3 linked regions of the Xenopus tropicalis genome follow. The protein of the gene in region 2 binds, or shares a complex with, the protein of the main gene of each other region. Links are inferred from orthologs where the notes say so. Each region holds a gene or a part of one and is shown on either strand. Other genes may lie near its edges. The genes, in order: smurf1, smad7 and yap1.

Evidence for each region.
Region 1: the proteins of smad7 (region 2) and smurf1 are in contact, whole or in part, in an NMR structure (PDB 2LTX), measured with the Homo sapiens proteins. The link is inferred for Xenopus tropicalis from reciprocal best matches to the Homo sapiens genes SMAD7 and SMURF1. Residues at the interface, in NP_005895.1 of Homo sapiens: Glu203, Glu205, Ser206, Pro207, Pro208, Pro209, Pro210, Tyr211, Ser212, Arg213, Tyr214, Pro215, Asp217; in NP_065162.1 of Homo sapiens: Glu313, Arg315, Ser316, Thr317, Arg321, Tyr323, Val325, Asp326, His327, Arg330, Thr331, Thr332, Phe334, Thr335.
Region 3: the proteins of smad7 (region 2) and yap1 are in contact, whole or in part, in an NMR structure (PDB 2LTV), measured with the Homo sapiens proteins. The link is inferred for Xenopus tropicalis from reciprocal best matches to the Homo sapiens genes SMAD7 and YAP1. Residues at the interface, in NP_005895.1 of Homo sapiens: Ser206, Pro207, Pro208, Pro209, Pro210, Tyr211, Tyr214, Pro215, Met216, Asp217; in NP_001123617.1 of Homo sapiens: Thr241, Gln242, Asp243, Tyr247, Ile249, Asn250, His251, Lys254, Thr255, Thr256, Ser257, Trp258.

What each region holds. Positions count from the first base shown.
Region 1 is NC_030685.2:47,059,712-47,069,773, forward strand, and holds part of smurf1 (E3 ubiquitin-protein ligase SMURF1), read right to left. Parts: intron 6,786-10,062; coding exon 6,639-6,785; intron 5,677-6,638; coding exon 5,475-5,676; intron 4,808-5,474; coding exon 4,704-4,807; intron 2,555-4,703; coding exon 2,440-2,554; intron 1,572-2,439; coding exon 1,393-1,571; intron 1-1,392. UniProt on the Homo sapiens protein: E3 ubiquitin-protein ligase that acts as a negative regulator of BMP signaling pathway. Mediates ubiquitination and degradation of SMAD1 and SMAD5, 2 receptor-regulated SMADs specific for the BMP pathway.
Region 2 is NC_030677.2:205,590,332-205,600,988, forward strand, and holds the start of smad7 (mothers against decapentaplegic homolog 7), read right to left. Parts: upstream 6,544-10,657; 5' UTR 5,481-6,543; coding exon 5,000-5,480; intron 3,249-4,999; coding exon 3,195-3,248; intron 1-3,194. UniProt on the Homo sapiens protein: Antagonist of signaling by TGF-beta (transforming growth factor) type 1 receptor superfamily members; has been shown to inhibit TGF-beta (Transforming growth factor) and activin signaling by associating with their receptors thus preventing SMAD2 access.
Region 3 is NC_030678.2:162,284,231-162,294,292, forward strand, and holds part of yap1 (transcriptional coactivator YAP1), read right to left. Parts: intron 5,889-10,062; coding exon 5,638-5,888; intron 1-5,637. UniProt on the Homo sapiens protein: Transcriptional regulator with dual roles as a coactivator and corepressor. Critical downstream regulatory target in the Hippo signaling pathway, crucial for organ size control and tumor suppression by restricting proliferation and promoting apoptosis.

The sequences.
Region 1 (10,062 bases), on a different chromosome or scaffold from region 2:
CACCAACCATTTGTCTTCAAAATGTTTGTGTTAATATGGATGTAGTATAAAAAGGGCAGTGGCTAAAACTGACTTCCGTTTTTGGCCCTCCACCATGTTTGCCAGAGAAATTCTGGCCCTCGGTACCACAGGGCACGATTATATTTACATCGCACATAGCATACCTTCCACTACAGCTATAAAATTCAAAAAAAAGTTATGGTGTTACCGTGTATATATTGACATTTTACAACAACAACAACTGAGATGCAGACCAATTACACAAATCACATTTAAGCTTACGCAGTGTGTTTAGGCAATCTGAAGTCTCTGTAAGAACCTGGCATCCATCTGCAGAATTTCAAACCAGTCAGTTGCCCCTACTATGCAAAAAAAAACAAAACCCTGATCTACTAAATAAATTGCTAAGTAATGTCACACTGGGACACATACAGGAAAGACACCAGTGTTGGTGGGATTTTGCACAAAGTATAGTGCTTTCTAGTGTTCTGCTACCAAGGCTGATGCTGCCTCCTCCCACCTCACTTACCTATCTCACACACAGAGCAGGGTAGGGAAGATCATTATGCTTGTTTAGCGAGTGCAACTGTTCTACGTTAAAGGTCAAAATATGGATTTTCCCACAATAAGGCCGGATCACTGCATGTAAAGTGTTTTACATGGGGGGAATAAACCTCTGAATGAAAAGGTAAATTTTGGATTTTTTGTTGGCCAGCAGGAGAGGAAATTTCACATAAGTGACAACACGTACATGTCCTTTGACCCTAAACAGCAAAATCACTGCCAAAATAATAAAAAAAAAAAAATGTTATTTAAATTTACCAATTTTACTGCCAATGTGTAACTTTAGAAAAGGTCTAACTTTACCTACTGTAAGAGCACCCGGATAAAACTCCCAAAATCATGTAATGTACTATTGGCCGTAGGATATCTGCCAGAATATTACTGCATATAGAGTTGTCTGTTGTTCCTCTACTAAGCTCTGTATGTGCAAGTATCATAACTTGTTGTGTTTGTATATAAGCACACAGGTTAGAGCAGTGATACCTAGCTACTGGCCTGTAAACCACATTTCTTGACACCCCTTTAAATGCTGCATGCAGTAACTTCAAAGGTGCTCATTTAACAAATGCTGGCCAAGTCTTGGAAGCCAAAAAAATGTTCTGGTAAACATGGGCTGCTACAGGCAGGTAGTCTATATAGTTCTATGAAAAAGCCAACCCAGTCTTTATTTTGCAGCCTGCACAATATTTTTTTTATGACTAAGTAGCTCTCAAACACTTTTTAAACTTGAATGTGGCTTACAATGCAACTAAAATAGGTTGGGGGAGCTCTGGCTTAAAGGGAACATAAGATCCTTAGAGACCAAAATATCTTAACAAAAATACTTACAAAATCCAAACCAAGCTTTTATGCAGCTCTGGATCCACAGATTCCAAGTCAGACAGCTGAATGGGCTTTCCCAAAAGTTGTTTGTAGAAAGGAACTGTAAACCCCCCATTAATGTAGTGTCCATGAAACACAGCCAATCCCATGATTCGACCAACAAAATGGAAATAAGATAAATGATCCTGTAGAGCAGAGTGGAAACAGAGTAAATTGACTTTGTATCTGAGTTTTGATTTTAGATTAAACTAAATCAGCAGAATTATTAGATGTATCTCAGTCCTCTCTGGCAATTAATACTAGGTAAAGGCAGGTAAGAAAATGGGAAGAATCTACCTTAAACACACATTGTGTCCATTACCTTGAGCCCTGCTGTCCAAAAGAACAAAGCTTGCCAACTAAAGCATTTTGTGAGCTTCGGAGATTTGAAGCGTAACATTTTAGCGAGCACCTCCAATTGTCAGGTGTCCATACAAATGGCCCATGATGTTAGCTGCTCAACTGAACACTTATGTTGTTCTGCAAAATTATGATCTGCAGTTATTTTAATATTGTGTAGGTTAACCTATGGATGGCAAGTACTAATTTCCTAGTTGCCGATGCAGTCCCTTATCCAATTTAAAAAAAAAAAAAAAAAAAAAAATCAAACTTGTCAAATTGACACCTGACCAATTTTCAACCAGATATTCAACTGCAGCTATTCTTAAAAAAATATGGTAGTTTGCACAGCTTCTTTATTGCATCAATGCTTTAGTACTCGCCAGATAGAATTAATATGTTAAAATTTTTACTGTCAAACTGCTTATAATTTTTTTCAGCCATTTTGCTGTGGCCACTAAAAGATCCAATGAGCATCATACTATACATTAATAATTAGTAGCAGCATCTTCTGCATAAAAGATTTTGTTGTTTTTGAAAAACAAGTCAATTATGGCTAGTTTCCCACAAAAAAAAAGTAAATTTCTAAGTTAATTTGTTTGTAGCTCACCGCAGCAAAGTGTCCCAATTTGCCACTACCTGTCAGCTGACCACAATGTCAGGTTTAACACTTACTGGATTAATAGATGAATCAGGATTAATTTGCAGAGTATAAATATTGTCTGTAGAATATTGGAAAAGTCCATAATATGGATTCAGCATTTCATGGCATAGTAAATACAGCCACTCCCTGTTTAAAAGAATCACATCAAGAATGAACAGACAATCTGAGCTGTTCTCTGAAAACACAAAATACATAGCAATAGCTTTTTCTTTTTTTTATGAAACTTTATGAACTTTATGAAATTTAAACTTTTTACTAAAGCATACAAACACCAAATGCCAAACACCAAAAAGCCAAATGTTCTGAAATTTTTTTTTAACTGGTTTTGTGAATTATAAAACATAACTTTACATAATGATAATCGACTTAATTCTAATAAGGTTGGTCCTGAATGTTAACTTCATGATACATATGAAGCCAGTAGCTATTTTTTTTTCTATTTATAACTAATGGATATATAATAAGGTAAGTGAAGGATATAGTATTACAGGGCTCTTCTAAACTGCTATGCAAGAGCATATAATATACTCCCTTGCACATAACAGCATTTTATCATAACCATTTTAATCTCCTTGTCTGCTGACCCTTAATGTCAGCAAAACATCACTGAATATGACAGATACAGGCAAGAAATTAATAGGGACAGTTTCCTATGGTGGATCATGGCCTGTAAATAAATACTACAAGATTAGTATTTAAAAAAATATAACATTCAAAATGTAGAGAGGATATATTTAGGATTAAGTCCTCTTTTCAAACAGATCTCACCCTAAACTGTGAAAGACAAGGGATCTCTTTGCCACTAGTACCTTGCACAGCTTTTGCCTTTTATGTTCCCCACTTCTGCTATAATAATCTAAAAAACAACAAATTTTCTAAAGGAATTCAATTCAATTTAGACTTTAATTCCATAGTTAGTGAAGTGGTATAACAATCTTTCTTGCAGTCATTTTAAGTTGTTAATGTACAACAATATTGCTAAATCATCCAATCATACATAAGCTGATAAAGAGCTTAAGTGCCGAAGGTCCTCCGACACGAAGACAACTTTCGGGTCAGTGTACACAGGAATTCAAGCACCCGTCGCCTTTTCGCCGTGCTGCTATGGAGCAGTTCGTCACTAAAATTCTACACGAAGCATTTAAAAAAGGCAAGGGGGGAAAGGCTAGACCTAATATTAGAGCTGTTTTGTGACTTATACGGTATTTAAATATTTATGTGTTACTGTTCCTTTAATTGCAGCCAAGTTCTGCTTTCAGGTTTCCTTCTTTTTGTTTTTTTAAAGTTTGATGCTATTACAGGAGCACATATAAGTGGATGCTTCAGCCTTACTATTAAGCTTTCAACAACCAGAGTGGTAGGTATTTAAAAATTACAAAGAGGCTGTTCACTGATTACATCTTTATGTGGGGGGTTTAACTTAGCCCGCAAATCTCCCCATGTGCCAATGCCCTTAGCTACCAAAGGACAGGTACTATTTCCTGAGTACATGTTTAAATTAAAATATTTTATTGGTTTCTATGGTTTACTGCAACTCGGCAAATGTGTGCCTTTTATTAATTACATGGGGGCAAGTAATTAAAAAGTACAGATGAAACCAAGACTGTGGAACCCAGTGCACTTTTCCACAAGAGTTATCTAAAAAATATATTTAAAAGTATTTCTTACATTTGTAAAACTGGTGTGTAGGCCGCCATCTCAGTGCATTGTACCTGAGTCTGAACTTTCAGAAGGAGCCAGTGTTACAATATTAAATACAAAAAAAAAAAAATCTGTTTGCGTTTTTGAAAAATGGATTTCAATGCAGGATTCAGCTGGAGAAGCTCTATTAACTGATGCGTTAAAAAAAAAAAAAAAAAATTATATATTTGTATATTTTGTTATATTTGTATTGTTACATATTTGTTGCTAGAGAGGCATCAGATGGGGTTTTTTGCCTTCCTCTGGGTCAACTAGCAGTTAGGCAGGTTATATATAGGCATTATGGTTGAACGTGATGGACGTACGTCTTTTTTCAACCTAACTTACTATATTACTATGTAAAGACCAGCATTAAAATACTAAGAATATGAGACAACTGTCCAGATGGGGGGGAATGTTTGGTTGTGATATTTACAAAAGGGTAAAAGGTATTAAGAGGTATTTCTTGTCTAACATAGCACAAAGTAAAAATGCAGCCCATAATTTGGGATAGTGTATAATAAACATCACTGTATAAGTCATACACAGTAAATATTTTAGGCCCACCATCAGTACATGATAAGTAGGACAATACCTGGCCACTCCACCATAGTCAAGTCCTTCTTCCCCACGAAATTTCACCATCAATCTTTTCTTAAGGTCTTTCGGTCTCATCTTCATTATCTGCCTATAGGACTCCTGCATATGGGCAGATTATCGGATTATAAAACTACAGCCTTGATAGAAACTATGCAGACAAAAAGTTTCATAACACATTTTGGCTCTGTCACAAAAAAATGATGCCAGTTTTAAACACCAGTAAGTAAAAAAAATCTAAACTAAAAGTAAGAAGGAATAGAAAGATAAATACAAATAACCTGTTAAAATATTTTGTTGAAATAATATTTTGTTCTTGAAAAAATTGTCAAACCTTGAAGGTTTTTAGGGGCGTTCAATAAAAAATAAATCAATCGTTGATGTTCTAATCATAAGGTCACTACATTTTCTATGATAAAATATTTCATTGCTTAAAACATAGAAAATCAGCTACATTACTGCAAGTTAATATCTGTTTTTTTTTCTTGCTAGCATGTCAAGGCTCTTTCCACATTGCTGTTTAATTCTATCCAGTTTAACAAAATAACTATAAAACCCCCAACTTTTTATTGTGATGAAAGCTTTCTTTGGGGGGATGAGTTCTGAAACATTTATAAAGATATGATAAACGGTTTTACAATACATAATACATTCTAAAATTACATTTTAATTTGAGCTACCCTTTTAAAAATCTGCTACAAATCTGTAACCAAACTGATATATATATCTTTTGAATCCTCTCTATTTTAGCTTTGCATGGCTACCTTACCTCAAAAATTTCTTCCCTTGACACTTCAACACGGCAGTGCCCTGCCTGAGGCTGCAGCAATGATAACTCATGTCTCAGGACTTTAAGTTTCTGTACCAAGTCTCTCTCATATCTTTGAGTAGGAAATTCATCCCCCTCTTCTAAAGATCCATCACTCTGCACTGGTATAGCATTATTTGGCTCTTTTAGCTGGGACTGATGACTGCAAGAGATACAAAAGTTTTAATATGATAAAATCTTAATAGTTACATTATAAGCAATGAAAAATACAGTACAATGCTATTCAAATTCAGCTTACTACTTCCTAGTATACCCTGGCAATTGGAGGGACACAAAATTCAACTCTTGGCAACAAAGAGCAACAAAGAATCATCTTATTTTCACTGTAAGCCCTGAGAGTGTGTACCATTGTTTTTCATTATGTGTGTACCTACTTCAATCAGACTGCACCCAGGTACAAGTTGTCTTTATTTATATAGCCTATTAAACTCTACTGTGCAGGTCACCACACAAGGGTGAAAAGTAATAAACTCAGATTTACTACTATTACATGGCAGCACAGAAGCTAGTAAATACTGCCGCAGAATTAATCAGTCCTGTAGCAACAGCTTCTATGACAAATGTCATACTTTCCGCTAATGTGCTGAAGATTTCATTGAGTGAAGAGATATTGACACATTCCTGTAATAGTAAACAATATGTCATTATTACTCCTAATGCAGCACCTTAGGTTTCCCCTAGGCCAGCCGCATTTAGTACATGTGGAAGTGCACCAGCCATTTGGCGAAAAAGGAGCTTCTTGCAGACATGCTGGGCTGTACGTGGCATTATTGTTCTACAGGCTGAAGTACAAAAGTAAGTGCAAATGGGCTGCGGGCAGCTTAGGAGCGTTATTTTACTAAATCAACAGTGCAGTGCTAACAAATACTGACACGTGGAACGTGTCAGTATCTCTAACTCCTTACAGAAGCCCAATGCAGGCTGGCACTCAAAACAAGAACAGAATCAGAAAACTGGCACTACTGCATATGCATGATTATTAATACAGGATTGCTGAACAGCTGGGCTGGTACAATGTAATAAAAATAGCATTTATAACTAAATTCTTTTTAATTTTTTTTTTTTAGATTAGTGCTTTATCCCAAATCTTTATCTCATTCTTACTTTATGATGTGATGTAGTCTTGGGTCTGTGAACTGCGTTGTTCGATTATTGTGGTCTACAAAGTATATTCTTCCAGACACAGTGGTTCTGACTTCCCATCCAGTGGGCAAAGGGCCAAGGTCATCACAATTCACACTGTTAAGGTCTCTAAAACATGTAAAGTAAAAACAAATTAAAGTTCTACCTGAATATCAAATATTCTGTTTGTAGAGATAGTACAGCTAAAAGAACTAGTAATACACACATACAGTAGGATGCTAACATTTGAGTACCTCTTGCTAAAGATTCCACTCAGTGTGGAAATTTTAGAATTTATTTAGTATTGATATATCATCACATTAAAATCAAATTAAAAACTTGGCTGGCCAGCCTACCTTATTCACAACCACATATAGTTACATCCATTTAAGATCATAAATGCACTGTATTAGATTGTTTAAAAACACAAAAAAAAACCCCTATTTCAAAAAACCTTAAATAGCAAGAAAAAATTGAATATTCCTCTTAAAGAGAGATGTATTGTGTTCTCTATGCAGGTTCCACTTCAATTAATCTGGTGGGGGTTGGTGAGAGGAAAAAGTTCTTAATTGCAGAGTTAATTCCCTTTATATATTCAAGCAAGATTTATATATAGACCAATGTCTCTTATAAGTATCCGTGCTGCACAGTCTTTAGTGGCCAATATAGTTGCACAAGTTAGTGAATTAATTGATGTTACTTATCAGTTGTATCAGTTGTAATGTGTTTAATTTTCAGTAGCTAAAAAGATCTCTGGGGCAATTCCTTTGTTCTAACTTCCTTTTTGGGGTCTAAATTCAAGATAGTTTGGTAACCTTATGCACAATGGCACCAATCTGTTCTGTGGACCCCTGGCTTTCATATTTAGGATGTTTTTTCTTGATACATAATGTTATGTGGGAGATAGGATTCTTGAAAGTGGAAGCTTTAAGGCGATTTTCTTTTTTTTCTTTTCTCAGGTTCTCCTGAAAAAAACGATATATAATTTTCCTACATAAACTAAACCCCCTCTAGTAAATGCCCCCAAAATGAGAGAGCACAGAATGTTTACAAAATGTCTGGCACGGGGGGGGGGGGGGGTGGTGGTAGTTGCCTCCAATAAAAATAATAATTAGATCTTAGTTTGGATCAAGTACAAACTTCTGCTTTATTATTACAAAGGAAAAAGGCAAATCATGATTTAAAAATTATTTGCTTATAATGGAGACTATGGCCTTTCTATAATTCTGAACTTTTGGGATAACAGGTTTTTAAGTAGGTTTGGCTGAAACAGAGTGGTGTTGAACCATTCCATGAAGCATTGTTGCTTGCACAAGTATGACCGGCATTGAAGAATCATCTGTAAGCCTTACCAGCAACCTTGTCATAAACATCAAAGTCTGATTTATGCAAAATATTGTCTAGACAAGCAAGAGGCCTTTTGGAAACAAGTGCTGTGAACTAATGAAGTAAGAATTTCACGACAAAGGTTTGTTTAGGAAAAAAAAATAATTCGATAAAAAAAAGTATGTTGCCAACTGTTAAACATGAAGGTGGATCCATTATGCGCTGGGATTGTGTGGCAACAAGCGGCACAAGAAATAATGTACTTGTAAAAGCACATTATGGAAGCCAATGTGAAACAGTCAAGAAACTGAAGACGAAAAAGGGATGGCTCTTACAAAAGGACAGCAACCCTAAACATACCTCTAAAGCCACCACAAGCTACTTTGGGGAAAAAAGGCCTTCAGCCTTGTGGCTTTATAAACTCTTCAGTGACTTCTAATAGCCTTTATATTTTACAATAGGGGCTACTTGGTTTCATATAATCCCTGTACACAAATCCAAAATGGCAGACCTGGCATAGCAGCACAGATGATTAAGTAAATGGAAATCTTCTAGAACAGACAACCCTCTACAGACGATCGCTATGACTCAGTTACTGTTCTTTTATGTTCATTCATATTATATTTCAAAGCGCTTTAGAATACAGAGGAATACTTTGCTATATAATGGTACATTTTACAAAATAACCTCTCTGAAGTACACAGGAGTCAGCTGTAAATGTACAGCACAGTAAATCTAAAGCACATTTAGAAATTGATGTAAGATGGCAGTGTACAGCCGGCACCTGAACAGTGTCCACCAATGCTTAATGATTCAAAATGTAGAACAAGGCATGTTTCTTTTATCAGTGATGACACAGTAGGGCTCATTTATCAACAATGTGCAAATATGCCAATGGTCAGTAACCCATAGCAACCAATCAGTGATTGGCTTTTTTGAGCCAGCTGCAGGTAGAACAATGAATTCAACAATTTGATTGGTTGCCATAGGTTACTGCCCATGGGCAAAATTGCCCAGTGTTGAGAAATTACCCCCTGTGATTTCTGATGTGTCTGGGATATTATTGCTAAGTGGAAAAGTCATTCTAATTGGCTCACGTGTAAGAATTTGTTGTGGAGTGCTATGCAAGCTCAAATAACACGTCAAGAGGGCAGGGCAATTCTGAACTAAAGTAGGAATGATCAGAGCACACGATTCTTGGTAATGTCTTGCAGCATACCACTGGCATTTTTGCAACAGTTAACTGTTTGGGCAAAGCTTTGATACAACCTATACAACTGGCTTAAGTTAATGGGAAAATGTCTATGCAGCAATTTCTGGCAGAAGTTTTAAAAACAGGTAGAAGAGAAGTGGCAATGAATAAAAAAAAAAACACACACACACTTTTTATGTTTAGCATTTTCAAGCAGCCTCTGGTTTCTATACAGAAAACTTTTACATCAAAAATGAATACACAACTTTATAATTAAGCATTTTTTTTTTTTTAAACACAGCTATTCTTAATAACCAGATGCTCTTTGGTTGCTATTCTTTATCTTTAACGCAGCATAATAAATGGTTCCCTCAGGCTCTATATTGACTCCAAAGCACCATAATTAACTAAAGAACTTTATTCCTCAAAGACATTTTGTACTCTAATGGAGCAATCAGAAAAATAAGATTTGACCTATTAAAGATCTGTGTCATTAATGCCAGCTGAGAACAAAAAGTTGCTTTATCTAGCTCTACCACCCACTTTATACCTCTCTCTGTTAGAGTTTTTCAAGGGTCTGTCAAGACCAACATATTTGGTTTTTATGCCGATGATACCTGAACCAACATATCTTTTTTTTTCCAAAATGCATTCTGAAATATCATCAGGGCTAGGCATCTTAGTTTCCCAGGGGCACATGGCTGAGGGGACCTCAGCCATGTGACCTGTGCTCTGATAAACTTCAGTCGCTCTTTACTGCTGCGGTGCAGTTGAAGTGATATCACCCCACCAGCAGAACAATGGAAAGGTTGGCTTGGCTCTTTCCGAAAGCTTCAGATTAGGCACAATGCACTCAGGTGGCTGCCTACACACCAAAATTACAGCTAA
Region 2 (10,657 bases):
TTCTTAATTAGTTACGCTTTTTTTTTCTCCTTTTGCAGCCATTATGATTATTATGATTATGATGATTATTAAGGGCCCAGACAGAGAGGCTGCGCTCCCTCTTCTTGTTAAACTGGTTATGATTTCAGCATTGTTCCATTACAAGGCGATGTTGCTGCTTCTCACCTAGTAACGTCAGATAAATAGACGGAATACACGCATCTTCCTGCCCAAACTCCCTGCTGCAACGCAGGCTTTTAACCCAATCCATTCCATGGGGGGGCATCTGAGCTGCGACGGGTATGGCTTTCGAGGAAAAGGTTAGCGGTGCAGCTGTGTTTTCAGTTTCAAGTCAGAACCCAGCAGCAGGCTACAGAGCAGCCAAGAGTCAATTCAGCACACACACAGCTTGCCGTGGTACACAACGGCAACACTGGTGGATTAGTTGGCCTTTATGTAAAAAAAGTGATGTTGTGTATTTTAATGGAAACACAGGCAAAGAGCATCCCTGCATATTATAATCTATACATAGTGCTGGGAGCTGCCATAATGAATGTTTGTACTCATTGGTGGGAGTTGCCATACGGATTTGGTATGTGGGTATATGAGTAGGCGCTGCCATACTGCTTGCCCCTGGATGAGGCTCAAATACTGTGGCAGCTTCCACTCTGTGCCAGAGCAAATAGACGGAGAATAAATATTCTGTGCAAATAAAGTGTCTGACACACACACACACACAGAGTAACGCAATGGTGCACATACACTGGCGACAAGGGGAAGTAATATTTCCCCTCACTTCCTAACACGACTCAGCAGAAGGCAAACATTACTGATGGACGACAGACAGACAGCTTCGCTTTGCCCCAATGCGACATCAATCGGCTGCGCCCAACCGACAGATCAACTGCATCTTCCTCGCAATAAATGCATGAACTTTCCCCTGGCGTGCCGGACTTACTTCCTGTCAGGGCAACCTGGGGTACTTTGCTTTGGTGCGGCAGGACACCCAGCGCCACGGAGGCCTCTTTATTACACATCTCGCTGCTTCCATGTCATCACTTGCTAATGAAGCCAATGCCATCACTCAGCTCCCCGGGACATGGGAGGACAGCGAAACTGACGCGCTTACGGCTTCCTTTGCTGTTTGTGGCCTCCATGCAGAAAGGTGAGCCTCGTTAAAGTTGGAGGTGCAAACTTATTTCGTGGGGAGCGGTGGGAATGGGAAAAAAAAAAGACCTCTAAAGGGGAAGTGAACCCAGAAATAAAATGTTGCCACAATGAAAAAACAAAACTGTAACACTAACTACACATTTTTTAAAGGTTTAAAATTCATTTGTATTGAAAGCACCAACTGTTCCGACTCCTGAGACAATGTTGCATAAGCAGCTGATTACAAGGCCTGGAAGAACAGAGATAAATAATAAACAAATGCTGCTTTCACTGGCAAGAACTGCATCCTTCGGCCACATTCCAAGCCCAGCTAGCCTTCTGCCTTGGGCAGGGGGAGCACCCAGAGTTTGGGAACCTCCATTCTAGCCCCCAGCTAGCCAACAGGCATTCCATTCTATAGCAAAGGCTGTGTCGGTCTCCTATGGGAGAAATGTGACGCCTTGTCAGAAAGGTGTAAATCAAGGCTTTATTGCCGGGGAAATGATGGACGAGCCTGGTTTACTGCCGGTGTGACATTAGGGCATAATCACAAATAAAAGAGCTTGCACGGATCAATATGCAGAGGGGGCGCCATTCATCTCCGCTCTGTGATATGGGCTGGCTTTGTGGCCGCTCCCTGACATTAGACATATTGCGGATATAAATAAATATATGTCTATCGGCAAGCCACAATCTTATTTGTCTAACAAGGTGAGCCAGATGCCAGGCGCAAGTTTTATTTGTCCCTCTCTGAGCGGCTCGACAGCGCCGGTGCCAACTATAAATGGGCTTTGGAGCTGGCAGGCAGCCCATTCAGCAACAGGCGCTCCAGGTCTTCTTTTAACCCCATTTTTTCCACTTACTGCCCTACTGCCCCCCCCCACCAATGGGGTCCCACTATAGATTCTAAAACGCATGCCAACAGGCAGCCATATTCCAAATGGGCATGTGAGCAAATTAACCAATGAGAGTGCAGCTGGAGCGCAAAAAAGGTGACATCCCAACAATGCACCATTGCACCGATAATTGCATTGTGTAACTGCTAAAACCTAAAGGTGCTGTTCTGTATATAAGCAATAACCTGAGAGTTACTAATATCTATCTATCATTGATTGTAAGCTCTTTGGGCTAGGACCTCATTCCAACTGAGTAGTAATACCCTACAATGTATGTATTTATACTTTTTATTTTTTTCATTTATATTACCTGCTCCCCTGTTTATATAATGCTACAATTCTCTGAAAACTATTAAAAAATGGGAAAAAAAATCCTCTTTATACGTTGATACACAAAAATAGAACTATTCCAAAAGAGATTTATCAAGCTTCCAAGTTATAGGGAAAACAGTGTTACAAAAACTCACACAAAATGAGCCACACAGATACAAAACTGCAGCAGAAAGTTACCCTTTACATGGGGCATTTAGAAAAAAATCATAAAAATGTGAAACAGAGAGTCACAAAACTGCACCCCAATCCAAATACAACTGTATGCAATAAATGATATAATGTCATGAGGTCCCACAACTAAGAAATCCCCAAAGTCACACAAAATGCCCCAATAGTTTTCAGAGAACCTCCAACCTTTTGTGTCTTTGACTCTTAAGTTATTGCAACTGTATCTTGTATTTATTTGTATACTTTGTATTTATCTATAAAGTAGCACTTTATAAATAAAAATATACATACATGGGTCATTTAGTAAAAATTCACAAAAATGTAAAACAGAGAGCCCAAAACTGCACCCCAATCCTAATACAACTGTATGCAATAAATGATCAAATGTCATGAGGTCCCACAACCGAGAAATCACCAAAGTCACACAAAATGCCCCCAATATCATTCAAAATTATTGCACACCAAAAATAGCCATAAACCTGCATTAAAACATCACAGAACTGTAGGACTCCAGGAGTCACAGAACTCAACTCCCCAGGGGGGAACCAAAAAAAAAAAAAAAAAAATGAAGCTGTCAAGATGACATAAATCAGGGCCCTCCGTAAAGCAACCCCCTGCCTCCCTTCCCAAAGGCCCCGGATGCACAAGTATGAAATAAAAGTTACTTACCAGTCGGTTTGAGAAAGTCCATGGGGTATCTGGTGTAGGGAGGTGGGGGAGATTCTGCAAAGGGAAGAAAAAGAGAGAAAATAAAGAGAGGTCCATGAGGAAAGGGAGAAGGAAGAAAAAAAAAAGGCAAGATAGAAACTTGTGATAACACTGGCATTCTTCTAGGCAAAGTGTTTGTGTAAGCCCCGGGGGTGAGAGGCAGGGCAGAGAGGCGGCGATCGCCTTGATATTTAGCAGTGAGATAAACAATAGCTGCCGCCTGGCGCCAGCCCTCCCTGCTATCAGCTCCTGCGACTGTCTGACCGGGGGCTCAGCCACTCCTGCCCCCATAATCCCCCTGTAGCTCCGCCGAGCAGTTAGCATTTCACAGAAAGGCAAAAAGATAAAGGGAAAGGGACTCTCTTTTTTTTTTTCCTTTTTACACCCCCTCCCCCTTCCCCTTGCTGCCCTATTTTTCTAAGGATTACAAAGTAGCCATGCAACTGCAATTTTATCTCCTTACTGTACTTCACTGTACGTTGGGGAAAAGACTTTTTCGCTATTCGCGCATTATACGCACAGCCGTATATAAAAGTGCGCTGAAACTGCCGCCGGAGAAAGGGGCATTGAAGCAAAAAGAGGGGGTTTACGCTTTACACCCCAACTTTAATAGGGGTGTAATAATAAAAGTAGGCTGGTAAATAGGAAACAGGGGGGAGGGCATGATTAATAAACACATTAAGCAGAACAGAAATAAGCTTAAAAGGTAAATGAAGGGAAAAACAATATATTACTAGGGTATAAGTGCAATAAAGGGAGGGACAGCCCCGATCCATTGATGGGGGGATGAATGAGATGTCAGTAGTAACTACTCAGCCCCCTGGCACTGTCACTACTGTCATAGGGAATAATACCTAATAATGACATGAGCCGAGACCCCCCCCCCAGAAATACATAAGCCCCCCCCCCCCTTTATTGCCACTGATATTAGCCCAGCAGACCTGCTATAGGACTGGAGACTGGATGATAATGGGGTGTATCTTGTATATGAAGGTTTCCTGGCAAAGTGACACAAGGCACCCCCACAATCCGTGTGACCCCCCCCATTCCTTTCACACAGTACAACGGAATGACATAGTGACAATGACACCTCCCAGCTTACACAGCAGACTGTACCCCCACAGCACCCACCGTGCCCACTATCCCCAAGCCACACTGTCAGTTATACCAAGGGGCAAGTTACTCTGCCCTGCTATTAGCCACAGCGACCAATGTATCCAATGTGCTGTACCCATGAAACCCAGAGCCATGCCCCCTTTGCCATTCCCGCTATACCCAAGGATAAATATGGAAAAAGAATAGTTGTGCCCTGAGATAAATATGCCCAGTCATATACCCCATTATAACTGTGCCAAATGGCAGTAAATCAGTATCCCCATTACCCATCACAATATTGAACCCCCAAGCCTGTGGCTGCATTGAAATACTAATGCCAGACTGACCCTCTGATGCCAACTACACACACCAGCTGTGCCCAGTGGGTGCCAATGTCCCTGCAGGACAGGGTGGCAGTCAGAGCAAATCCACCCTGCCATGTGTGTGTGCCAGTCTGGGTGTCAAAGTCCCTGCAGGACAGGGTGGCAGTCAGAGCAAACCCACCCTGCCATGTGTGTGTGTGCCAGTCTGGGTGTCAAAGTCCCTGCAGGACAGGATGGCAGTCAGAGCAAACCCACCGTGCCATGTGTATGTGCCAGTCTGGATGGCAGTCAGAGCAAACCCACCCTGCCCTGTGTGTGAGTGCCAGTCTGGGTACAGGGGGCACCTACCTAGTTCGCACAGCCTGCTGAGATGGTGCGGGTTGCAGCAGACCAGCTCCGGGTTGTTCTTGCCATAGGAATCGCAGCAACTAAGTCGTTTGACCTCGGACGAGTGCCTGAGGTCCGGCCACCTGAAGACCTTGCAGAGCAGCAGCGGCAGGGAGAAGGGCTGCTGCCCCAGCCTGGAGTCCAGCTTGGCCGCCGGCAGCAACAGGCAGGGGCTGCGGGCTCCCCCTTTACACTCCACCGCCTGCAGCAGCCCCTCCAGCTGCTTCTCCTTCAGCTTCTTCAGCACGGAGTGGGCGAGGGCTTTCAGTTCTGCAGCCTCCGAGCCCCCCAGCGCCTTCCCGGGCACCTTATTCGCCGATTTGCCCAGGCAGCAACCCCCGGCTCCATGAACCCTCTCCCCGCCTTCCCCTTCCCCGCTCTCCCCGGGAGCTCGGCTCCTCCAGAGTCGCCGGACGAGCACCGATCGTTTGGTCCTGAACATGCGGGACGAGAGCAAGGCTTCCCGGCTAAACAACGTGCATGACGCCCGCAAATCATGAAGAATCCTGGATCCGAGGCCGGGCAGAGACCAGCAGCAGCAGCCCGGGAGGGTAGGGGGGAGCTGGGGGTCCGACAAGCCAAAGCGATCTGGAACATGCGCCAGTCTTTTAGGGGAAGAGATCCTGCAAAGTGCGGCGGGGGGATCCGAGTCGCAGCGACAGGAATACTGCAAACGGCAAGCAGCCGCCCCGGCTACACATACAGCGGGCTAATGCTGGGCAGCCGAGCCGGGAGCAGCGGGGCATTGAATGGAGCACAGAGCGCTGCCCGGCTTGGCCTGGGATCTAAAGGGCATTTATACACAATCCTCCCGGTAGGAAAGCGGGCTCCCCCCACAACTCGTACATCCACAAACGAGCGGGTCTGCCGATAATATCCCTTGTGTATGGGGGGCAAATGGGCAGAGAGTAGGGGCACTAGGGCGGCAGAACCTTATAGATAATCCGTACGCGATGCGGTTCCAGTAAAGAAGTAGAAGCCCTGGGTTGCGCCTCTCGCTTGTTTAATCCACAAGAAAAATCCTTTATCCGGCCGCTCAGTAGGAGAGAGGGGAAAAAAATAAAGTGGGACTTGTCTTTTCCTCCTTCTCAAAGGGCTGATCCGCCCCCGTCTGTGTTATGGAAATGTGCGATGGGGAGAGGGGGGGGGGAGAGGAGGAGGGACCGGCCGCACAGCGGAGACACGGCGAGGGGCAGCGGGGAGAGGACTGGTATCCCTCCGCTAACGAGGGCCGGCTATGGGGGTTCACTGGGGCACCTACACTCTACTGGGGGGGTGCTGTGTCCACAAAGCTCACACTCACAGCACCCAGTTACCAAGGGACTTCACCCTGCTCATTGCTGTCAGTGCCCCTCCTCTCTCCCTGACTGTCTCTCACTTCCCCCTCCCCTGTCTGTGCCTGTCTCTCTCTCTCCCCGGCTCTCTCGGCTCTGTCAGTCTCCTGTGCGCAATGGCGCGGCCCATCACGTGGGTGTCTAGACAGCCTGTCGCTTTAACAAAAAAAAAAAACCCCAAGGATTGTGTTGCGCAAAGGCTTCGGGTTACTGAAAGCTCCTCTTTTATGTCACAGTCAGTCATATGTGTGAGTCTGAGTGAGAGTGTGAGTGAGAGTGTGAGTCTGAGTGTGAGTGTGAGTCTGAGTGAGAGTGTGAGTCTGAGTGAGAGTGTGCACTATGCATTTAGTGGGGCATAAAGCCATCAGTGTAACATTAAAGGGGAGGTTAGCTTTTCAGTATGGCCAATTCTAAGCAACTTTTCAATTGGTCTTCATTATTTATTTTTATCATTTTTAAATTATTCCCCTTCTCCTGCCTCTTTCCAGCTTTCAAACAGGGGTCACCGACCCCCGCAACAAAAACTATGGCTCTGTGAGGCTACAATTTTATTGGTATTGTTACTTTTAATTACTTTTCTTTCTGTTTAGAAATATCAGTCTCTCATTGAAACCAATGCCTGGTCACCAGGGGCCCCCACACCCCCAGTAGGGACTCCCGCCGGCTGCCTCCCTGCGGCCCACCAGGTTTTTTCCTGGTGTCCCGTCGGCCCAGTCCAATCCTGCTGGTTGCTAAGGTAATTTGGACCCTAGCAACCAGATAGCTGCTGAAATTCCAATCTGGAGAGCTGCTGAACAAAAAGTGAAATAATTACAGAACTACAAAAAATAATGACAAACTGCAAATTATCTCAGAATATTACTCTCTATCTCATACTAAAAGTTAACTCAAAGGTGAACTACCTCTTTAGATGTAAGTACCTGGGTATAATAATTACTCCCAGTGGCAGGCTGATACACCTTTATGGCATTGCTGCTGCTGAGCTGTGGGAGAGGATGTAGGCTAAGGCTGTTAGGGGTTGCTGGGAGCTGTAGTTCAAGCTGTGGGGAGCAGATTGATTACTAATGAATAAACTGCTTGCAGGGCCTGGCAGGTATAAGGAGAATACATTATACATACTCGGGTTTCATGTTGTTTCTAACATAGAGGTAGTAGATGCATGGAGTGAGCTCTCCGGGGAGAGGGTATCGGCCTTAGTTATCAGCTCAGCTTGACTGTGCATGAATGGGGTTAAATGGCCGGCTTGTGATGTTGGAGGGGAAGTCGGGCTGAGAGGTTTCAGTGCAGGTTGTTAGGGCTGGACAAGTCCCCCTCGAGCCGCTACTTAAATCTCACTTTTGGCTCGTGACGTTTGGGTACAAAGTGTACATGTTGCAACGTCCGCAAGCTTGTCTCTAATTACTGTCTGCCTCCTACCTGTCCCTCTGTCTGCCTCCTACCTGTCCCTCTGTCTGCCTCCTACCTGTCCCTCTGTCTGCCTCCTACCTGTCCCTCTGTCTGCCTCCTACCTGTCCCTCTGTCTGCCTCATACCTGTCCCTCTGTCTGCCTCCTACCTGTCACTCTGTCTGCCTCCTACCTGTCCCTCTGTCTGCCTCCTACCTGTCACTCTGTCTGCCTCCTACCTGTCCCTCTGTCTGCCTCCTACCTGTCCCTCTGTCTGCCTCCTACCTGTCCCTCTGTCTGCCTCCTACCTGTCCCTCTGTCTGCCTCCTACCTGTCCCTCTGTCTGCCTCCTACCTGTCCCTCTGTCTGCCTCCTACCTGTCCCTCTGTCTGCCTCCTACCTGTCCCCCTGTCTGCCTCCTACCTGTCACTCTCTCTGCCTCCTACCTGTCCCTCTGTCTGCCTCCTACCTGTCCCTCTGTCTGCCTCCTACCTGTCCCTCTGTCTGCCTCCTACCTGTCCCCCTCCTACCTGTCACTCTGTCTGCCCCCTACCTGTCCCTCTGTCTGCCTCCTACCTGTCCCCCTCCTACCTGTCACTCTGTCTGCCTCCTACCTGTCCCTCTGGCTGCGTCCTACCTGTCCCCCTCCTACCTGTCACTCTGTCTGCCTCCTACCTGTCCCTCTGTCTGCCCCCTACCTGTCCCTCTGTCTGCCTCCTACCTGTCCCCCTCCTACCTGTCACTTTGTCTGCCTCCTACCTGTCCCTCTGTCTGCCCCCTACCTGTCCCTCTGTCTGCCTCCTACCTGTCCCTCTGTCTGCCTCCTACCTGTCCCTCTGTCTGCCCCCCTACCTGTCCCTCTGTCTACCTCCTACCTGTCCCTCTGTCTGCCCCCTACCTGTCCCTCTGTCTGCCTCCTACCTGTCCCCCTCCTACCTGTCACTCTGTCTGCCTCCTACCTGTCCCTCTGTCTGCCTCCTACCTGTCCCCCTCCTACCTGTCACTCTGTCTGCCTCCTACCTGTCCCTCTGTCTGCCTCCTACCTGTCCCCCTCCTACCTGTCACTCTGTCTGCCTCCTACCTGTCCCTTTGTCTGCCCCCTACCTGTCCCTCTGTCTGCCCCCTACCTGTCACTCCGTCTGCCTTCTACCTGTCCTCTGTCTGCCTCCTACCTGTCCCTCTGTCTGCCTCCTTCCTGTCCCCTCCTACCTGTCACTCTGTCTGCCTCCTACCTGTCACTTCTGTCTGCCTCCTACCTGTCACTCTGTCTGCCTCCTACCTGTCCCCCTCCTACCTGTCACTCTGTCTGCCCCCTACCTGTCACTCCGTCTGCCTTCTACCTGTCCCTCTGTCTGCCTCCTACCTGTCCCTCTGTCTGCCCCCTACCTGTCACTCCGTCTGCCTTCTACCTGTCCCTCTGTCTGCCTCCTACCTGTCCCTCTGTCTGCCTCCTTCCTGTCCCCCTCCTACCTGTCACTCTGTCTGCCTCCTACCTGTCACTCTGTCTGCCTCCTACCTGTCACTCTGTCTGCCTCCTACCTGTCCCCCTCCTACCTGTCACTCTGTCTGCCCCCTACCTGTCACTCCGTCTGCCTTCTACCTGTCCCTCTGTCTGCCTCCTACCTGTCCCTCTGTCTGCCTCCTACCTGTCCCCCTCCTACCTGTCACTCTGTCTGCCTCCTACCTGTCCCTCTGTCTGCCTCCTACCTGTCACTCTGTCTGCCTCCTACCTGTCCCCCTCCTACCTGTCCCTCTGTCTGCCTCCTACCTGTCCCCCTCCTACCTGTCCCTCTGTCTGCCTCCTACCTGTCCCTCTGTCTGCCTCCTACCTGTCACTCTGTCTGCCTCCTACCTGTCCCTCTGTCTGCCTCCTACCTGTCCCTCTGTCTGCCCCCTACCTGTCCCTCTGTCTGCCCCCTACCTGTCACTCCGTCTGCCCCCTACCTGTCACTTTGCCCCACTACCTGTCACTCTATCTGCCCCTGGGTCATTAGGCACTGCCTGTATGAGTACTTAACTCAGCCTGTCCCACTGGTTATGTGCGCTCTCTCCCAGTCTGAGTGCTCTCTACCTATTATATCCGTGTCTGTGTGGGTACTTCGTGCCAGTTTGGGCAAGTACTGTAGTCCAGTCACTGTGAGCTCTGTATCCTGTTCTGGGTGGGTACTGTATCCCAGGCTAAATACTGTATCCCAGGCTAAATACTGTATCCCAGGCTAAGTACTGTATCCCAGGCTAAATACTGTATCCCAGGCTAAATACTGTATCCCAGGCTAAATACTGTACCCCAGGCTAAGTACTGTATCCCAGGCTAAATACTGTATCCCAGGCTAAATACTGTATCCCAGGCTAAGTACTGTATCCCAGGCTAAATACTGTATCCCAGGCTAAATACTGTATCCCAGGCTAAATACTGTATCCCAGGCTAAGTACTGTACCCCAGGCTAAATACTGTATCCCAGGCTAAATACTGTACCCCAGGCTAAATACTGTATCCCAGGCTAAATACTGTACCCCAGGCTAAGTACTGTATCCCAGGCTAAATACTGTATCCCAGGCTAAATACTGTACCCCAGGCTAAATACTGTATCCCAGGCTAAATACTGTATCCCAGGCTAAGTACTGTATCCCAGGCTAAATACTGTATCCCAGGCTAAATACTGTATCCCAGGCTAAGTACTGTATCCCAGGCTAAATACTGTATCCCAGGCTAAATACTGTACCCCAGGCTAAGTACTGTATCCCAGGCTAAATACTGTATCCCAGGCTAAATACTGTATCCCAGGCTAAGTACTGTATCCCAGGCTAAATACTGTATCCCAGGCTAAATACTGTACCCCAGGCTAAATACTGTATCCCAGGCTAAATACTATATCCCAGGCTAAATACTGTACCCCAGGC
Region 3 (10,062 bases), on a different chromosome or scaffold from region 2:
GCAAAATAAGGGGCAGAAGTGGCATTTATTATAAAGTTCTTTGCGCACCATGCTGTGTGGCCAATGCCCTCCCAGAAAAGATTCCACATAGACGCAAACCAAAAAGTTAAATGTAAGCCCTTAGGGGAGGAAGCACTGGATACATATAAGCCCTCCCAGCTGCTAAACTGCAAATTCCAAGCCTCCCCCAACAGCCAGCAGAACTGTACATAAATTCAAAGCTAATTTGGATTGTCCCTGTACAGGGACTCCACAGACAGACTCTTAATACCTGTCCCGTATGGCAGATCCATGGCCCAGCCCTTCGCCCTGGAAGCAGTTTTGGCCCTTTTTATAATGCAAAGAGTAATGCAGCATTTAGCGCCACAGTATTTATTGCAAACTCTTTTCAGTGGTTGGTGTTTTAGTACCATGGCCTCTAGTAGCTGCTTTTAACTGGGTTTGGGCTGTGTTTCTCCAGTAAAGAGTTCTGCATGTACTCTACTGTCCCAGTGCCCTCTCCACCACATCATAAAAGTTCATGGAGGAGCCAAATAAGGGCTGTTACTGGCTATTAGGGGCCTCTATGCACACTATCAGCTTACAGGGGCTTTATTTGGTAGTAAATCTTTTTTTAATTCAACCAAAACTTGCCCCCAAGTCAGGAATTCAAGAATAACTACCTTGTTTGGGGGCATTGGGAGCAACATCCAAGGGGTTGGGGAGCAACATGTTGCTCACAAGTCACTTGTTGGGGATCACTGGCCTGAACGGAGACTACCAAGGCCCATCCTTCCCAAGCCCAAGATTTAGTGCTGGAAAAACCCTAGAAGTGGCGGGTCTGTACTACACCTTTGCTAATTCATTAGGCCAGCTTTTGCCCCATCAAAGCAGAAACAAAAACGTTCTACTCAAACGTCTTAAGAACCTTCTGCTAATATGAACAGGGCTCAACTTCCTTTAGAGAAAAACAGATTGTTCCAAATGGCCTCATTAGTGTGGATTTTAGAAGGACAAGAGGTTGGTTCTCCATCAACACTACATCATCAAACCAGATGAAAGCTCACCTCCCTAACCTTCCCGGTGGCTTAAGCCTCCCTTTGATGAGTACACTCCCGCTTTTCTGTTTACTATTTGGCTTGAGAACAAATGGCCCCGAAGAGGGCTGTTCTCCTTCCTATTGAAAACAAAAGAGCAGAATAAAATGGATGTAGGGGGTCAGCTGTTTCTTAGATCACTGCCAAGACGGATCAACAAGAAAGTTGTTTAACCCTGTATAAGATGAGGTATGCAATATTAAATACATTCAAATCAGTTAGCTAAAAAATTACAAGACAACCCACGTCACAAAAACATGAGTCTGTCATTCCGATAAACTGCAATGCAGTTGGAAATTATATTGGCCAATTAGTAAATCAACAAACCCTTTTTTTACGAGAGATACTTAGTATGAAAGCCGATACTCTGTAAACCCAAGCAAGTGTTTCATCATATTTGCATGATATGTGACTTCCCATCTGAATACTGTGTAAATAAGTGTTCTGTTATATACAGGTATGTGCAGGAAACTAATTGCCAAGATTACATTTAATTCAATTGCTTACTGCTCTTCTAAAAACCAAAAACCCAGGTTGTGTTAGTGGCACCTTGACCAGGTTACATGCTGCTTCCTTGTAGGCTCCTCCACATGGAAAATGTGGCTTCCACTTAGAGAGATACAAAGAAAGATGGAGGGACAAGGCTCTTGCTGTAGGCTCCACCACATACAGAGAGCGAAAGATAGCAAATTATGCTTCTGGTTGTAGCCTTCCCTACATAGAGAGACCACAATAAAGAAAAACATTTTTCTAGGTGTTAAGTTGCTTCACCTATAAAACAAAGATGGCAGAACATGATCTGGGTGTAGGTTCCTTCACATACAGATAGAAAGATGGCAGAACATGGATCTGGGTGTAGGTTCCTTCACATACAGACAGAAAGATGGCAGAAAATGGATCTGCGTGTAGGTTCCTTCACATACAGATAGAAAGATGGCAGAACATGGATCTGCGTGTAGGTCCCTTTGCTGTAAGGGCTATGGCAAGTGGGTAGCTTTGTTGCCTGTGGGAATACTGCCTTACCTATGGGATATATTTCTCCTGAAAATGCCTTTCCCGTTATTAACCGGTGGATTGGCGCTTATAAAACACTTTACATATGGCAATGCAGCATAATTAAGTTAAAAACAAAGACAAAGGCATTTTCCAGGAATAATGGCAGAGTGCAGTGATCCACAGGTTAGTAACGGGAAAGGCATTTTCGGGAGGTTTGTCGCCCTTGGGAAATCTCTTTGTGTGGCTCTGCCCTAAGGCTTCAATTTTATTGTTACTGTCAGTTTTACTGCTATTTAAATCCAATGCCTGGAATTTCAGCAGGATCCCAAATATCAGAATATCCCTATACAGCCAATATCATACTATCATACATATCATAGTTAAAGATGAACTACTCCTTTCATCCCTTATTTCTTGATATACCTGTATAAATAAAAAGTTCAAGCTTTATTAAGGTTACAGCTTTTGCTGTACAGGTATAGGATCTATTATCCAGAATGCTCGGAACCTGGGGTTTTGTGGATAAGGAATCTTCCTGTAATTTGGATCACCAGGCCTTAAGTCTGCTAAAAATCATTTAAACATTAAATAAACCCAACAGTATTATTTTGCCACCAATATGGATTTATGCAGCTTAGTAAGGATCAAGCACAAGCTACAGTTTTACTATTACAGATATAGGATCTGTTATCCAGAAAGCTCCAAATTACAGGAAGACCACCTGTCACAGACTCAATCAAGTAATTCAAATTTTTTTTTACATTATTTCCATTTTCTCTGTAATAATAAAACAGTACCTTGTACTTGATCCCAACTAAGATATAATTACCCCTTATTGGGGGCAGAACAGTCCTATTGGGTTTATTTCATGGTTAAATGATTCCCTTTCCTCTGTAATAATAAAACAGTACCTGTACTTGATCCCAACTAAGATATAATTACCCCTTATTGGGGCAGAACAGTCCTATTGGGTTTATTTCATGGTTAAATGATTCCCTTTTCTCTGCAATAATAAAACAGTACCTGTACTTGATCCCAACTAAGATATAATTACCCCTTATTGGGGGCAGAACAGCCCTATTGGGTTTATTTAATGGTTAAATGATTCCCTTTTCTCTGTAATAATAAAACAGTACCTGTACTTGATCCCAACTAAGATATAATTACCCCTTATTGGAGGCAGAACAGCCCTATTGGGTTTATTTAATGGTTAAATGATTCCCTTTTCTCTGTAATAATAAAACAGTACCTGTACTTGATCCCAACTAAGATATAATTAACCCTTATTGGGGGCAGAACAGCCCTATTGGGTTTATTTCATGTTAAAACGTCTTAAGAAAAATTAAAACATAGCAATCCAGATTACAGAAAGAATCCTGATCCGGAAAACCCCAGTTCCGGAGCATTCTAGATAACCGGTTCCATACCTGTACAGAGAAAAAGGAAATCCCTTTTAAAAATTTGAATTATTTGCACATAATAGAGTCTACAGGGACACGGCCTTTCCGTAATTCTGGTTAACTGTTTCCGGATAACAGATCCTATATCTATTTCATTTACGAGGTGGGGAATTTTACACCATTAAGAAAAGCACTTTCCAAACGAAGGGACAGGGTTAAACATACCTTCCCCAACCAATCAGGCCGATGCTTCCCAGGGAGAAGCTCTTTCAATTAAGGACTCGGGATGGCTGCAAGAGAACAACCGCTCTCGCTCATGCAGATGAGACTGCCAGACGTGTGTGTACTTTACAGTCTCGGGCCCCTTATTGTTTCCTCTGAAACTCGAGCCCTTAACATAGAGAGCAGGGCTGCAAGGAGAAAGATACATGCACTCTGCAAGGCACTTACCTCTCATATTTACTATGACTTGCGGGGGAATATTTACGGCCATAATACACTCAGGTAGGGCTTGTGTTCCCAGGCCAGGAAGGGCACTTAGTTAAGGCTATCATCGCCTGATAAAAGCCAACTTGGTCCCTCTAGACAGAGTTGGTAGCTTATTGGGCCCTCCTGCTTGCCTGCCCAATATCTGGCTAAAAATCAATCACATAACCTATTGTGCAGGCTAATAAATGCCATTAGGTGAGGGCCGTACGCTGATCCCCATTATGATCAGATTGCTGGCCCACTGCGTCCTGATCTGGCAGTGTGTTTGCATCTAATTTAGGAAAAGACTCACTACCTTGGCAACCTTGCCCACTGTGCATATCTTAGCCTAATGTCCTTAGACAAGGACATTTGCCCATCACTACTCTCTGCTAGATACCAGCAGCAAATAAAACATTACAGGTGCCATCAGTCTAAAGGTCCCCATCGGTATCAGCAGCTACAATCGGCTCGTGTATGGGGACCTTAACAAGCTCCATAGAGGTAAAACACTACTAGGCTGATTTACAAACACAGGGGATAAAATGCACAAGTGCCCCTGCCAGTAGCAGCCAATCAGAAATTAGTTTGTCTATTAAAAGCTGGAAAACGAAAGCCAAGACATGACTGGCTTAGCATTTGCACAATGCAGCAACTAAGTTCATAAATCAGCCCTGCAATAGATAGCACGGCTACAGGCAATCATACCCCAAAATGCCTTGGTGCAGGGCTCGTCACTAATACCTCCTGGAAATGTAGCAGTGCAACTATCCATACAATAACAATTATAGCCTGGTCCTTCCGTGGGAATAATGTATTGCAGTGTACATCCCTAGGGACCTATGTAATACAGAAACTTCGATAGAACCCTTAAATAATTGGAGTGAAATACTTTTAACTCAAATTTGCTCACGTCATGTAAAACAATAGTAATTATGACCTAGTGCTGATAAAGAGGTTGTAGCTTTATGATAGACTATATTACCCAACAAGTCTGAAAACCAGAGTAGTGATGTAGAAAGATAACTTTTCTGTATTGCCCCAGGGCAGGGAATCAATGGCCTCTGTAGTGGTGACTGTAACCAGCCTGGGACACGGGGCCCTGCTTACTAGGATTGTTTATACCAATAATATAATAGCTGAAGTAGAGGAACAAAAGAATGCCTTTCCTTTTTCACACAAGGGATCAGTAGCAGCACACCAACCTGCTCTGCTGAACAGAGTTATTTTTGTAGTATTTATGAGATTTTGAAACAAAAAAAATTTTGTGCCTAAAAAATGCAACATTCAACATTGAAAAAAATGCATTAAGTTATTTGTAAATGTAATTGCTCTAGAAATCAGTACATGTCTGACTGTCTATATTCTCTGCACCGCTGGTTCTGAATCCTAAAAGAATGTTGCAGAAGCCAGTAGATTATCGGATTATTGGGGCACAACTGCCCCCTTGCTGAACAGCCTTGGCTATGATAATGCCCACAGCAGCGGCGGCTGATGGCACCTAAACTGGTGGGAAATGCAGCTCTAAGCGGTTTGCTGTGTCTGCTTCAAACTATACCAGAGATGCCAATATCACACAAGAAAATATAAGGTTTATAGGCAATTAAATGGAAGCAAATCATGTAATAGCATGAAGGTATTTGTATATAGGCTAAGGTGAGCCCTAACGGACACAGTCAAGAAAACAAAAAACCTACTTCAGAAAGTATCGTTGCCCGGAGGGCGTCTTTGCCATTTCCCATCCTGGCGGTAGAGGAACATCGTCTGGAATTTCATAAGAAGACTGGCGCAGGTGCTGAGCGTTGGGTGCTGGTGCGGGGCCGGGAACCACCCCCGGCGGAGAAAGGGCACCAGGGGACACTGCCCCTAGCTGCAAGGAGGCCGGGGAGGAATGAGCGCGGACATGCTGAGGAGTTAGAGCTCCAGCTGATCCCCCATCTGTGCTGGCCTGCAAAGAACAAGTGGGACAATATGAGTAAAGCCAACACTGACATTTTAATTATCAGCAGAGATCTAAACCTGAGAAAAAATGCCTCCCTGATGTCAAAATGGCAATTGGACCAGTCCCTGGATCAACTTGTATTAAAATCTATATCCCATAACCCTGTATTCCCGTGCTTTTGTACCAGCTAACAGGTGACAATTGCCTAAAATTAACGGCACTGATACTCGGTCAGTCAACTATCGCCTGAAATGCACTGGCTTCTGCTAATGTGTCTCAAAAGTCAGAACGAGCAGTGCAGAGAATAACCAGGGACAGATAAATTATACTTTTAATATCAATAGTAACATTGGCCTCATATGTAAGAAAAAGCACTACGTTTGCCAAGGTGCAGTAACTTATAGCAACCAATAAGATGTTAGCTTTAAAACAGGTGACCAGTAAATGATACCTGCTAATTGGCTGCTATGGGCTACTGCTCCTGGGCAAATTTAGTGCTTTTATTATATAACCCCTTGAAGATTATACTGGAGGTATATATACTGGAAGAATAGATATATGGATGTACAGTATATATACTGGAAGAATATTGCTGTAATGATACTTACCTTTTCTTTCATTAGGCAAAATGTTATTTTATAGTTTACATGCCCTTTAAAATGAGGTTAAAAAACACTGGAATGGGGTTGGCACAGGCATGCATACACTGATATAAAACCCTAGTGTGGGTGCCCAGTTTTCACACCCCCATTAAATGCAGAGGTTCATGGGAACCCAGTAACAGGGCTGCACAGCTCCTATCTAGCCCCGGCCTGTGTACGATTCCCCCCGCCCCGCTGTGCCTGCTCTATAATCCTAAAATGTCTCACTGTCAGTTATTTTGGGTAACAGCGCATCTCTCATTGGCCTCTATGCGACACAGTAGACAATGTATATTTTAGTCTCAATATCCCAAAATATCAACCGGCAGCACTTGGGACATAAGGTTTATATTTAGATCAATGGCTGCAGCTTTGGGTGACGCTGGATTTGGGGAAAGGCTCCGTGAGTCAGTGATGCTTGGGAGGGTGCCAGCGGGTGCTGCTCGGGGGCCTCAGAGCTACAGCCCTGTATTCTCAGCAGCCATGACTCAATGCATTCAGTTTATTTATTAGCAGATGTTCCCATCACACTCCCTTACAGGGCAGCATGGTGTCTGTCCCATTACTTGCTCATGTTGCACGCTTCCATTAAAGGGAAAAGAAAACTAAGTATGGGAAGGGGTATAACAACAGGGGGAACGGACCCATCAAAACAGTTACATGCGAGTATAACCATGTCACTTCTCTAGCCATAAATACTAGATTGCTCCATACAATACAAGCTAATGATTCTAATTGATACGCACCCCACCAATGTTACTTGGAAGTATGATTGCAGAACAGAGAGGTTAATGTATTAACAGGGGCAAAGCTACTATGGATCTAGTAGCCCATAGCAACCCCATATTAGCCACTGACAACAGTACTGGTCTCCTGAAGCCAATGAGCCATGACACTGCTGCGACCCTGCTGCACCCACCCCAAACCTACTGCATTAGTGATATGGGGGCCAGGAAGAACTAAAACCATCACTAAGCCATTGTAGGACCTGCACTCAATCCATCCCCGCATCTTTCCGCTCTGTGCGCCCCTTAAGTTCCATGACAGGGAAACAGAGGAAGAGTGCACTTTCCCAGTCTGACCTGTGCCCAACCCAAATCCTCCAAATTTCAACCCTAACCTGTCCGAGTTACTTACACACAGGTTCTAAAAACTGTCTGGAAATACTGCATGCACAAAGGGAATGCTAAATACAGAGTGGGAGAGAAAACACAATTTCTATTTCCCCTGCATAATATTACAATTCTGCACTTCATTTGGAAGCTGTGCCAGTTTGTGCCTCACTACAGCCGGCCTGGATAAACCGGAGCAGGGGTCCCCAACTGGGCTGTGTCGCACTGGGGCACCTGTTAATACATGCATTGCACGTGTGATTGCACACATAATGACACGTACGACACAATCATGCTCCATATGCCTTGTACGCGCTCTGCTATTGCGTTGCATTATGCGCTGCACCACATTTTGCGTCAAGCTAAAGGAGTATGAAATAAAGAAACTTTAACATTTGATAACATGGAAGATTTCTCCCAAGGCTACAGATGCATACGTGCCTAGAAGCACAACAAACAAACAAGTGTTCATTCTCTGGGTTCTCTTTGTTTTCTGCCCACTTTAGAGACTGGAGAGAAGGAAACATGAATGAACCCCTTGGGGTACAAGTCTACATTTCAAACTGTAATCCAGTTGTGCTGAACAAACCGATCAGGTACACTTATTTTGGGATGTACGCATAGATGTGACGTGTTTGTGGGGTAAATTAAATCAAATTGGGCAGCCCTGATACACGAGAAGCACCTCGTACCAGCGTTGGGCAGAGCACCCGTTTTCCCTTCAGCCTATATATTCATATGTCCGCATCATACAATGCTACCGTCAGATACAATAAATAAGCCGCCTTGGGTGCCTGCCCAAACATGACATTACAGTTTTCTCTCACTAAGGAACAATTCTTTCCGAGCTGGAAGGCCTGGAGTCGCTCCCTCCATTCTGCACTAAGAAAACACTGATTAATAAGAGCTTGAGCTGAATAAAAATATGAAATATATTCATTTGGTCAGTTATTTCTATCGGCTGATTACATATGATGACCCAGCTAAACTGAACACATTCTCCGTACATGATGCAGACAAAACAGGGCCTTAACCTGCAACATGTGAACATTAAGCACACATGGGGCACACATGGGCAAAGCTATTCTGACCAATAAGCGGACTGCAATCATTGCATGCATGGGTAGGCAGCCTATATAGCCAGTGGCCACCTAGATGGGCCAACATGATCCTCAGCCCACACACAAGCATGTGTCAAACAAGCCTGGCCAAAACAATCCAGATGTAGCCACAACATGTGCCTTTGTGTGATCAGCTAAGCATACATCACTTGCATACAGGGAATTTTCATGCCTTGGTGTTACTGGCCCTCTGAGTGCTGCCTCATGGGAAGTTCCTTATTAATATGTTTATTATTGCTTTGGTTGCTACACGGCCAAGATCTGATGGGGTAACAGATGCTTCTGTAGTATATATATATGCTGCTGAACTTTAGGCAAAGAATTTAAATCTCGGCACAATTCGGCTCCCCGTATTCTGGGCCAAAGTGACTTATCCAATTGCTGGCTCTAAAGGGACATCAGAGTTGTATCTAAAGTAAGAGGAAAAAAATAAAGGGTTGTATAGGCATTTATACATAATATATTGTTACTTTGCACTGGCAAATATAGAGTAGAGGCTGTAATACAGTTTCTATGTCAGGGGTCCCCGACCTTTCTAACTAGAGAGCCACATTCAAAAGTAAAAAGACTTGGAGAGCAACACAAGCACCATAAAAGTTCATGGAGGAGCCAAATAAGGGCTGTGATTGGCTATTAGGGGCCTCTATGCACACTATGAACTTACAGGGGCTTTATTTGGTAGTAAATCTTGTTTTTATTCAACCAAATCCTGCCCCCAAGTCAGGAATTCAAAAATAACTCCCTGGTTTGGGGGCACTGAGAGCAACACCCAACATGCTGCTCACGAACCACTGATTGGGGGATCACTGCTCTAGAACAGCTACCATGAAGCTGGGGGGCTGCCATTCAAGCTCTAATAGGGCTCTAGGGCACACATTTGCATGGCAGATCACCTATGGAGAATGCTTTTATGACCCAAGTGGAGATAAACAGAAGACCAAGGGCCAATCATGGCTCACAGCACACAGGCTAAAAACTTCTCATAGCAAACAGGCCTGCAGGACAAACAAATCCAACCTTTAATTACAATCCATTAGTTCACTTGTGTTATTGGCTTTCATAGCGCAAGTGGAAGGGCCTGGTACATTGCCATCAAACGCTAAAGCTGGCCATACACGTCCCAATATTATCGTACAAATACTTGTTTCGTATGATATTCAGAGTGTGTATGGGGGATCGACGAGACGACAGATATCACAAAAGCTTCAGATGTAGGTCATCTCATTGATCAGTTGGGTTAAGAGATTTTGATCTGGCGCCATTTTAGGTGCCAGAGCAAAATCTGCGTTCAGGGCTCAATTGATAT